Ovis aries: one gene and its partner. The protein of the gene in region 1 purifies or fractionates together with the protein of each later gene. This does not show direct contact. Links are inferred from orthologs where the notes say so. Each region holds a gene or a part of one and is shown in the gene's direction. Other genes may lie near its edges.

Evidence for each region.
Region 2: the proteins of DTX3 (region 1) and RNF114 purify together in Homo sapiens (affinity purification with mass spectrometry; 3 studies listed by BioGRID and IntAct, counting the BioPlex papers as one, with this or other methods). This does not show direct contact. The link is inferred for Ovis aries from reciprocal best matches to the Homo sapiens genes DTX3 and RNF114.

The regions. Positions count from the first base shown.
Region 1 is NC_056056.1:162,060,083-162,064,640, reverse strand, and holds the start of DTX3 (probable E3 ubiquitin-protein ligase DTX3), read left to right. Parts: upstream 1-1,701; 5' UTR 1,702-1,736; intron 1,737-3,101; 5' UTR 3,102-3,163; intron 3,164-3,346; 5' UTR 3,347-3,392; coding exon of another isoform or gene 3,393-3,420; coding exon 3,421-3,421; intron 3,422-3,758; coding exon 3,759-4,507; intron 4,508-4,558. UniProt on the Homo sapiens protein: Regulator of Notch signaling, a signaling pathway involved in cell-cell communications that regulates a broad spectrum of cell-fate determinations.
Region 2 is NC_056066.1:78,023,972-78,028,502, forward strand, and holds the start of RNF114 (E3 ubiquitin-protein ligase RNF114), read left to right. Parts: upstream 1-1,508; 5' UTR 1,509-1,519; coding exon 1,520-1,665; intron 1,666-4,531. UniProt on the Homo sapiens protein: E3 ubiquitin-protein ligase that promotes the ubiquitination of various substrates. In turn, participates in the regulation of many biological processes including cell cycle, apoptosis, osteoclastogenesis as well as innate or adaptive immunity.

The DNA.
Region 1 (4,558 bases):
AAGTAACAAGAGGAGTCCCCGGTTGAGGATTGGAGCCCCTATAAAATTTTCCTGTCAGGAGCCTCATGGGTCTTTTTCATTCCACCGTCTACCTTTCCCTTGTTGAATGCAATAAAACTCCATGACACCAGCAACTTTGTTTAGAACTGGGTTTTCTGACCCATTTCTGGCTGATGTATCATAAGCATTATGGTTTTCATTTGTTGCTTCTGTTTTTCATCTTTTTTGTTTTATTAATAAAAAGATCTCGTGTATTTACTCCCATTGCTGTCACTATAAGGAAAATAAATTATTGAATTCAAATTTCTTCACAGAAATTCTTTTTCTCCCCCACTCCTCTTTTTTGGAAGCCTGGGCTTAGGGGTGCAGTGACATGTAAAGAACTGATCTTTAAGGTGTTGGGTCCCTAAGGACGTGGGTTTCAAGATAGATGGCTGTGAGCTTAAAAGGTGGCCAGGAGTGTGCATGGGAATGGAAGACATTCCCCAGTTTTGCGGGAGTCAGGTACAGGGGGGTCAGGGACAATTGAGGTGACGTGACCCCCCTCCACCCCTTTCCCCAGGGTTCTGGGCTAGATCACACATCTCTAAAGGTGAGCGAGTCTTAACAGCACCAAGCACACGTGAGCTAAAGCAGAAGGAATCCAGTATTTCCCCAGGCTTCCTGGGAAAGATGTCCTTTGTGTGGAGGACAGAAAGAGTACATCAGGATCCTGGGAAAGTAAAGAAGGAAGTGACCAGCCATCCAGCCTGGAGAGGGAGTGAAGAAAGTGGGTGGATCAGCAGAGGTTGTTGCCAGTGTGAGAAATCTATCCAGTACTGTTTGGCCAAGGAGGTCTTCTGACCGTTGGAAAAACCTGGCTTGATGTGGCCCCAGGGAAGTGAGTTGGACTGGGTGCGGAGACTGCTGGCTCTGATGTGGGAAGCATAAGAGGGTCGGTCCCTACCCCCAGCCCTCCCTCCTCGATTTGTGAGTTTTTAACTATTTCAACTATAGACTTGATACCATCACTCCAAGGCATTTTTTTTGGATAGAATGTATTCACTTATTCTGCACCAGCCTCAGTGTAAAGAGAAAAATCAGAGATCAATACCCAGCTGAGAGCAGGTTTGACAGAAGGTAACAATCTAGGAAAAGGCAAGCAATAAAGAAGGGAAACGTCTTAGTCCTGGATTTATTTTTTAGAACCAATGCTTTTTACTATGACTCTTCTTCCTACCTCCTATTCCTCAAAGGCCTTTCTAGAAAAAGGATCACAGAGAAATTGCCCCCTCTTCCCCACCTACCTAAACCAACATTCCTCACCCACCCATCTGCCACCAGCTTCCAGAAGCTGCCACGCAGCTGGCTGGCAAAGAACAGGGAGAGAGGGCCCCTCTCCGGAGGGGAAAGCGAGAAGGGTAGCGTCTCTAAGGGATTTACCCTCCTACCCTGGGCTCCACGACACCACCCCCGCCTCCAAAGATTGGGACGGCGCCTCCATTTCTGTTTTGGGGCGGAAGGCAGGGGCTTGTGGATGGAAGGGGGTCAAAGGAAACGGTGATTATCACCTGGGAGGGGGAAGGGGGAGCCATCCTCCTTCATTCCCTTTTCCTCAGTCTGCACCCCCTGCAAACTCTCCCCCCCCCACACCTTCTCGGGGTCTCCCCCCACCCCCGCCCTTGTTGCTAAGGCCCAGACCGTCATCCCAGCAACAGCCTCAGTCATGTGACCGGCAATGGCGGCGCTGACGAGAGGTAGGTGAGCCCGGCGCCCCCCACACCCACCGCGCGCCCCCCGGACCCTTCTCGCACCCCCCGCGCGCCCTCCCGCTTCCCCTGCGCCCGGTCCTCGGTCTCCTTCTCCTGCGCGCGACCCCGGGGGTCCGGGCCCGGCCCCGCCGATCCTCCGTCTGTTACCCTCCAGCCTTGGCCTCCATTTGGGGGTTCTGGGGCCCGCTATCCGGCCGACATGCATCCCCACCCAGTGGTGGGGCTGCCGGGGCTTTGCCGAGCCTGGGATGCGGGGAGTTGGTTCCGGGTCGCGTCTGGCAGGAGGTCGTGGGGGGGAGGGGTGGAGATGCCTCCGTGATGCCCCCAGGGACCCTGGCCCTTCCTGGCTGCCCCTGTCCGCCGGCCCCTCTCGAGCGGGAGGGACTGGCCCCGTGTCCGGCCTGGGCTGCCCCAGAGGAGTCGGACCCAGCAAAAACTGTGGCCCCGCCTCCCATTTCTGTGCCAGCAGGACTCGGAGCAAAGGACACCTAGGTCCTGGCTTCACTCTGATGGGGAGGGGGTGTTCCACCTGGATGGACCGAAAGAGCCGAGGCTCTAGGGTTCCGATTTCGCTTTATGAATCTTGAGGTGCATCTGGCCTTGAGGGGACTGGGAAGGAGGCACAAACGGAGAGCTGCTCCCTTTTGGATCAGTCAAGGAATTGAGGTCACACTAATGGCCCTTCTTTCTATTTGGGCCGCATTTGGAGGTGTTGTAGGGATAGCTCTGTAGCTGAACACAGCAAGACTGGGGCAGGGAGGGGGTGGTGGTGGTGGAGAATATCAGGGTGCTCCAGCGGATCCCCTGTGTGAGCTCCACCCCTCCTGAAATGCAGCCTAGGTTGCTGGCAGGCCTGGATTTTGTGTGCTGGGTTTAAAAGGTGACAGCGAGAACTTCGTTATTACAGGGGCTTCTGCCACTTGGTCCGCATTCCAAACAGACTCCAGCAGAAGGGACTGGGTTAACACTCAAGGAAGGCACCCTAGCACTAGGAGCTGAATTATTGGCAAAATGTGGAGCAGGGCGAGAAGCTGGGGAGCAAAGGAGATATTCTTGTCCTTGTGATCTGAGGGAGGTGGCAAAACAGACCTCTCTGTGTGTGGGCTTTTCCCTTCCAGACTTCTCTAATCTGTGTCCCTAGGTTTCTTAAGAGCCCAGAGCTGAGGAAGAGGAAAGTTAGCATGTTGAAGTTCCTTCTTTAGGAACTTGGCCAGAGGCTGAGGATGAAATTCTGCAAAAGACAGGGAGAGGAAATGGAGGAGTTTTTGTTTGCTTCTGGGCTGACTGGGGGAAAGGGTAATATTTGTCATCCTAACCCCTCCTCCCTCCCTCCCCCCCTCCCTCCCCTAGTCCTGGTCAGCTGAATGTGGAAACAGAGGGAATTCTGCTGTCACCGTCCATGGGCTTTCCAGGTATCTGCCTTTCATGGAAACTTCAACTTTCACCCTTAAATTGGTTTCCTTCATTCCATGTTCCTAGTAATCCCATTCCCAGGAGATTTACCCCCAGGTTCTGTCTGTCTTGTGGGCTGCTGGGTGGGGGCATGTGGAAATGGGAGAAGGGGTTTTCCACTCCTTTTCCTTTCCACCCACCAGGTCACACAACCTACAAGTAGGGAGTGGGGACAGAGCGCGCGCCTGCATGCCAATTCTAAGCTCTTCAGGATCAAAGTGAGCAAAAAGGAGGGTTGAAATCTCCTTTCCTTTTACAGAACCCAGTCCAGAGTTGGGGAGGGCCAGGATGCTTCTGTGCTCTAGGGAGGAGTGTAGAACCAAGACTGATGCTTACCTTAGATGATAATAAAGTTAGAGCAGCTTTCTTGCTCTTCAGAGGGTGCTGGAGTTTGAAAGATGGGAGGAACTAGAACGTGAACTTGGGGGAGGAGATGGGGGTTGGGCTCTGAGAGAGTAGAGGTAATATAGACCGGAAAGGAATGGGAAGTAGGAGGCACTGATATCTGTGAAATGGGGACCCCCCCACCCTGAGTCCCTTTTACCCTGGGGGCAGTGTCGTTCGTCCTGTCCAGAATGGCAGCCTGTGGAGGCAATTGCAAGAACAAAGTGACTGTCTCCAAGCCTGTGTGGGACTTCCTGAGCAAGGAGACCCCTGCCCGGCTGGCCCGGCTTCGGGAGGAGCACCACGTGTCCATTCTCATAGACGGCGAGACTTCTGACATCTATGTTCTCCAGCTTTCCCCTCAGGGCCCTCCCCCAGCTCCTCCCAATGGGCTCTATCTGGCCAGGAAGGCTCTCAAGGGGCTGCTCAAGGAGGCAGAGAAAGAGCTCAAGAAAGCTCAGAGGCAGGGGGAGCTTATGGGCTGCCTGGCTTTGGGGGGTGGAGGGGAGCACCCTGAGCTGCACCGCCCAGGCCCACCCCCTCTCCGAGCAGCCCCACTTCTGCCCCCAGGGGCCCGGGGGCTTCCCCCACCTCCTCCTCCGCTACCCCCTCCTCTTCCTCCCCGCCTTCGAGAAGAGACAGAAGAGCAGGAGAGCACCTGCCCCATCTGTCTGGGAGAGATCCAGAATGCCAAGACGTTGGAGAAGTGCCGGCACTCGTTCTGCGAGGGCTGCATTACCCGGGCCCTGCAGGTGAAGAAGGCCTGCCCCATGTGTGGCCGTTTCTATGGGCAGCTGGTGGGCAACCAGCCCCAGAACGGGCGGATGCTGGTCTCTAAGGATGCCACACTCCTACTACCCAGCTATGAGAAGTACGGCACCATCGTCATCCAGTACGTCTTCCCGCCCGGTGTCCAGGGGGTAAGAAGACTGTGGCTGCCCTTACCCTTTGGTTTCCCCAGGCTCCTTGTT
Region 2 (4,531 bases), on another chromosome or scaffold:
TTGATTCCAGCTTGTGCTTCATCCAGCCCAGCATTTCACATGATGTACTCTGCATATGTTAAATAAGCAGAGTAACACTATACAGCCTTGATGTACTCCTTTCCCAATTTTGAACCAGTCCGTTGTCCCATACCCAGCTCTAATTGTACAGGTTTCTCAAGAGGCAGGTAAGGTATGTATGAATTTATGGAAAGTTCATTTCAAGAGCTCAAACTGGAGGTGCTCAGTGGATTTGAAGCCTGAGTCTGGGACTCCCCTTCCCTCACCACCCTCCCTGCTCACAGCACAGTCTGGCGGCAGTTACAAGGCCAAAACAAAAGCTTATAAACACCTACAACACATCTCTGCCACCACAGAAGCACCCCCATTCCTGAAGGGGAGACAGGGCACTTTTGGGCCGGAGAGATGTCAGATGCACAGTGCCTGTCATAGGAACAAGAAAAAGAAATGGTAAAATGGAAGCATTGGCTCTCTTGGGCTGCTGCCTACACACCAAGTTACTGGTTAGTGAAAAGATGGCCCACATGGCTAGTTAAAAATAATCCTCCTGCTGCCAGCAGGTCAAGCAGAATCAATCCAGAGGACTGGGAATGGCCCAAATGAGGCGCAAATTTCCATTCAGTTAACCTGGTTTAGCAAACTGATTTATTTGTCTTGTGCAGACTCCTTACTGTGAGGCCTCTGTGGCCTTACAGGATAGAGTTTAATTGATCATTGACTTTCCTGGGTAAGACAACCGCATAGACCCGTTAGCAAAGCCGGCCTTAAAAAAAAAAAAAAAAAAGTAGCTTCCGTTATAACAGGCTGCATATGAGAGCCAGCTGGGTACAGTGGGAAGTAAAGGAAGATGAGATTCAGAACGTCTGGGTTCTAGGCCTGCTGCTTTCAAGATTGAGGTTTAGTCTCTCTCTCCAAACCCCAGGCTCCCCATCTTCTACAGAGCTAGATGGACCCCGTGGCCAGGAGGCACGTGAAGACAATACTAAGTAATTTTATCACTTCTGCTTTCACTAGGACGTCTCAATGTGGTGATAGCCTGTCTTCAACACCTCTCTAATCACGCTTAATCTCCCTTTTCTACGTCAACAGTATCCGGCACGAATTCATAAGACTCTACAGTATTTGTTCCCCGTGCCTTGTGGAAATAAGTGGTGTTGATTTTCTATTTGTAGCTTGGGAGTGATATCAAATCTCCCTGTAAAATTTGTTTGCTGAAACTCGACTGAAGAGAAAGATTAAAGAATAGTGCATACGTAAATATTAAGCAATGGTACCAACCATTTAAATTTTGGGCAAAAGTGTCTAAAGCACAATCCCTCCTCCCCTCATACCAGTCTCTGGATCCGGGTCTGCCCTTTTCCCTAGCGTCTGAGGGGCCGGGAGGCGTGGCCAGCCCGCTGGCCCCGCCCCAATCCCGGCATACGTTCCATAAGCCCCGCCCCGAGCGGTCCTCCCCGCTCTCGCTCCGCCCCTTCGCCTCTTCCGCGGCCGCTGAGGCGCGGCGCTCCGCGGCGGCAAGATGGCGGCGCAGGCGCAGCCCCAGGCCCGTGATGGTGGTGCGCAGCTGGCAGGACCCGCGGCGGAGGCCGACCCCCTGGGCCGCTTCACGTGTCCCGTGTGCCTGGAGGTGTACGAGAAGCCGGTGCAGGTGCCCTGCGGACACGTGTAAGTGGCGGGCTGGGGCCCGATAGGGGTGGTGGTGGGCAGGGGGGAGGAAAATGGAGCTGAGGAGAGAGGCCCCAGCAGGAAGGGTCTCCGGCGGGAGCGGGAGGCCTGGCCTCGAGGCGCGTCTCCGCGGGGCTCCCGGGGGCCCGTGGACGTCGGCGGGGCGCTCTTCTCTTCCGCCCCGCTTCCTCCCCAGCGTCCGGCTCTTCGGTTGAGCGTCCGCTGTGTCCCGGGCCCCCTCCGACGCGTGATGGCGGAGTGGCGCCCTGCTGGGGGCTTGGTGGAGCCCGAGCCCCGCCGGGTCCCCGCGAACAGGCTGCCCGTGGCCCCTCAGGTATGCCGTGTCCAGTGTCCGGCTCTGCGCGGCAGTTCAGTGTGCTCGGAAGTTGGAGACACGCTCGACTGGACCAAAAGGACAAAGGGGGAGTCCTGAAGGAGACCTGACCCGTCTGCCCTTGACGGGGAGGAGGTCGGGGGCTGGCAGGTAGCGGTGGTCCGCATTCCCGCAGGCGTGCGGGGCGTGTTGCGCTGTGTTTCAAATTCAGAGCCTCCATGCTGTTAGTAGAATGCTTGTGAGGACGAAGGAGCTTGTGTGAGAATGTGCAGTAACAGGCTCTGGGGTGGGCTTTGAGGTTGGCCAGATTTGAATGGAAGCCTTGCTCCATCAGACCCGCAAAACGGCTGAGTGGAAAGAATTGTCGCCTTTTGCCGCTGGGGGTTGGATTTTGCTCTGTGGCCTCCCGCAGCGCTTATCCCGGCGGGCATCGCTTGGGGTTGGTGTTAGGGCCCCTCCGCTGGTCAGGAGGCACAGAAGGCGCCTGCTGGGCGTTCTTGCTCCTGAAGCAGTCCTGTGGGGACAGAGACGTGGCAGCCATTTTGCAGGTGAGGGCACCGAGGCTCCCTCGGGGCTGGCTCACCATTGCCTGTCCTTCCCCGATGGACCGGGTGTCTGTTTGCCTGGCAAGGGCTCCTCAGCCACCCCGACGCTCTTTCCAGCTTCAGGCTGTTCTGCTTGCAGTTCAGTTAGCCTGGAAGTCTTCTTGCCCTTTCAGCCCCTCTCCTGTCACCGCTCCAAATCCTTTCCAGACTTCAAGGCCCAGTTCTAGTAACCTCCCTTGTCAGTCTCCCCATTTCAGTTATCTCCCTGCTTCTCTCCGGGGCACTCCTCCTCCTGCCTTTCAGAGAGCAAAACTTAGGGTTCATGAGGGCAGTGTTTTGCACCTCTTTCTGTCCCAAGTACCCAGTGTAGTGTTTGAGCAACCATCTTCCAATCTTATATTCAACTATCTAAAAATACTTGTATACACACTATGTGCCAGGTTGGCGAACATCCTAAGAAGCAAGGTGATTCTGCCCTCAAAGTTCACAGTCCACTGAATTGATCATTAAATAAGTACTAGCAGTGTTCAGACTCTTGTCAGTCAAACTCATTGTCCACTGGGAAAGTATCACAGAGATAAAGCCCATGTGAGTGGGGGATGGGGGAGTGATCGGGTAAAGGCCGCACAAACTTAAGAAACTGGTGAAGGCACACTTTGTGAGAGTTGAAGTTGCCCCTAGGTAGCTTTCCAGTTGAATTCTCTTCTCTGTGAATCAGCCCTCATTAGGGTTACCTAATTTTGGATTACTTCACTGGATTTAATTTACATTTATAAATAGGCTTATAAATAGGCTTGACCCAGCCCAGGTTACCAACTAAAGAGCAGCAAAATTTGAGGTTTCCTTGAGCCAGGTGGACCTTTCCAAGGTCAGAGGTCAAGGGGCAGTACTGATATGCAAACCTTGGCTCTTGTCTATACTCGCCATACTAGCTCCATGTGTTCATCAGTTCGATGCTGATTCAAAACAGATGGCAGGATCTCTGTGAGGGCCCCCACATCTCCCTTAACTCCCACCCAGTGCATTTTGCTCTGCCTGGTTGCTTTTTGCTAGCTCTTGTGCTTGAAAACAGCATCACTGCAGCTCTAGCCGCACGGGGCATTGGGTTCTTATAAAACTTGTTTCAAGCCCTGACTTTTACATCCCTCTCCACATTAGTGGAACAGCTAGAGGCTGGCAGGTGGCTGGGTGCCCAGGACGACTTGTCTGCGGAGAATTATAAGAGGAAGGGTGGGGCATCTAGAAGACTGAAAAAGGCCCATCAGTAGGAAATGGAAACTGAAAGCCAGACCAACACTGTTCACTGTCTAAGTCCTTTGCGACTCTGCGACCGTATAGACTGTAGCCTGCCAGGCGCCTCATCCATGGGTTTTCCCAGGCAAGAATACTGGAGTGAGTTGCCATTTCCTTCTCTAGGTGATCTTTCCAGCCCAGGGATCTAACTTGTGTCTCCTGGATTGGCAGGCAGATTCTTTACCACTGAGCCACCAGGGAAGCCCGTCCAAGATACAGGGGCCATTTAAAAGCAGGCTTGTTTGTTAGGTGTGACAGGCACAGAGTGGCTTGTGAACATTGATCTCTGAGTCACAGCTATAAAAAGCAGCATTGACATCCAGCGAAAGGACAAAAAGGAGAAAAATGTTAGAGACAGTAAAAAACAAATGTGCAGATTACCTTGGATTACATATCCAGAGCTCTTCCTGGCAGATCTTGCTATCTTGCCTTAGATCTCTGAGGTTGCAAATGCAGCTGGGGTGCTTTCCTGCCTCATTATTCCTTCTTTCTCTGTACCTTATCTCAGCATCACCACCAGTCTAGGCTTCAGATATACAGAAAGTTGGTCATCTTTAACTTCTTTTGTTTTCCAAATTTAGCAAATTGCCAAGTCCTCCTGAATCCATCCCCAAATCATTTCCTGAATTCTTTATTGCCTCAGTCAGGCCCTCATGATCTCTTGCCTTTGGCCATCTATTTGGTTTCTTTTCTC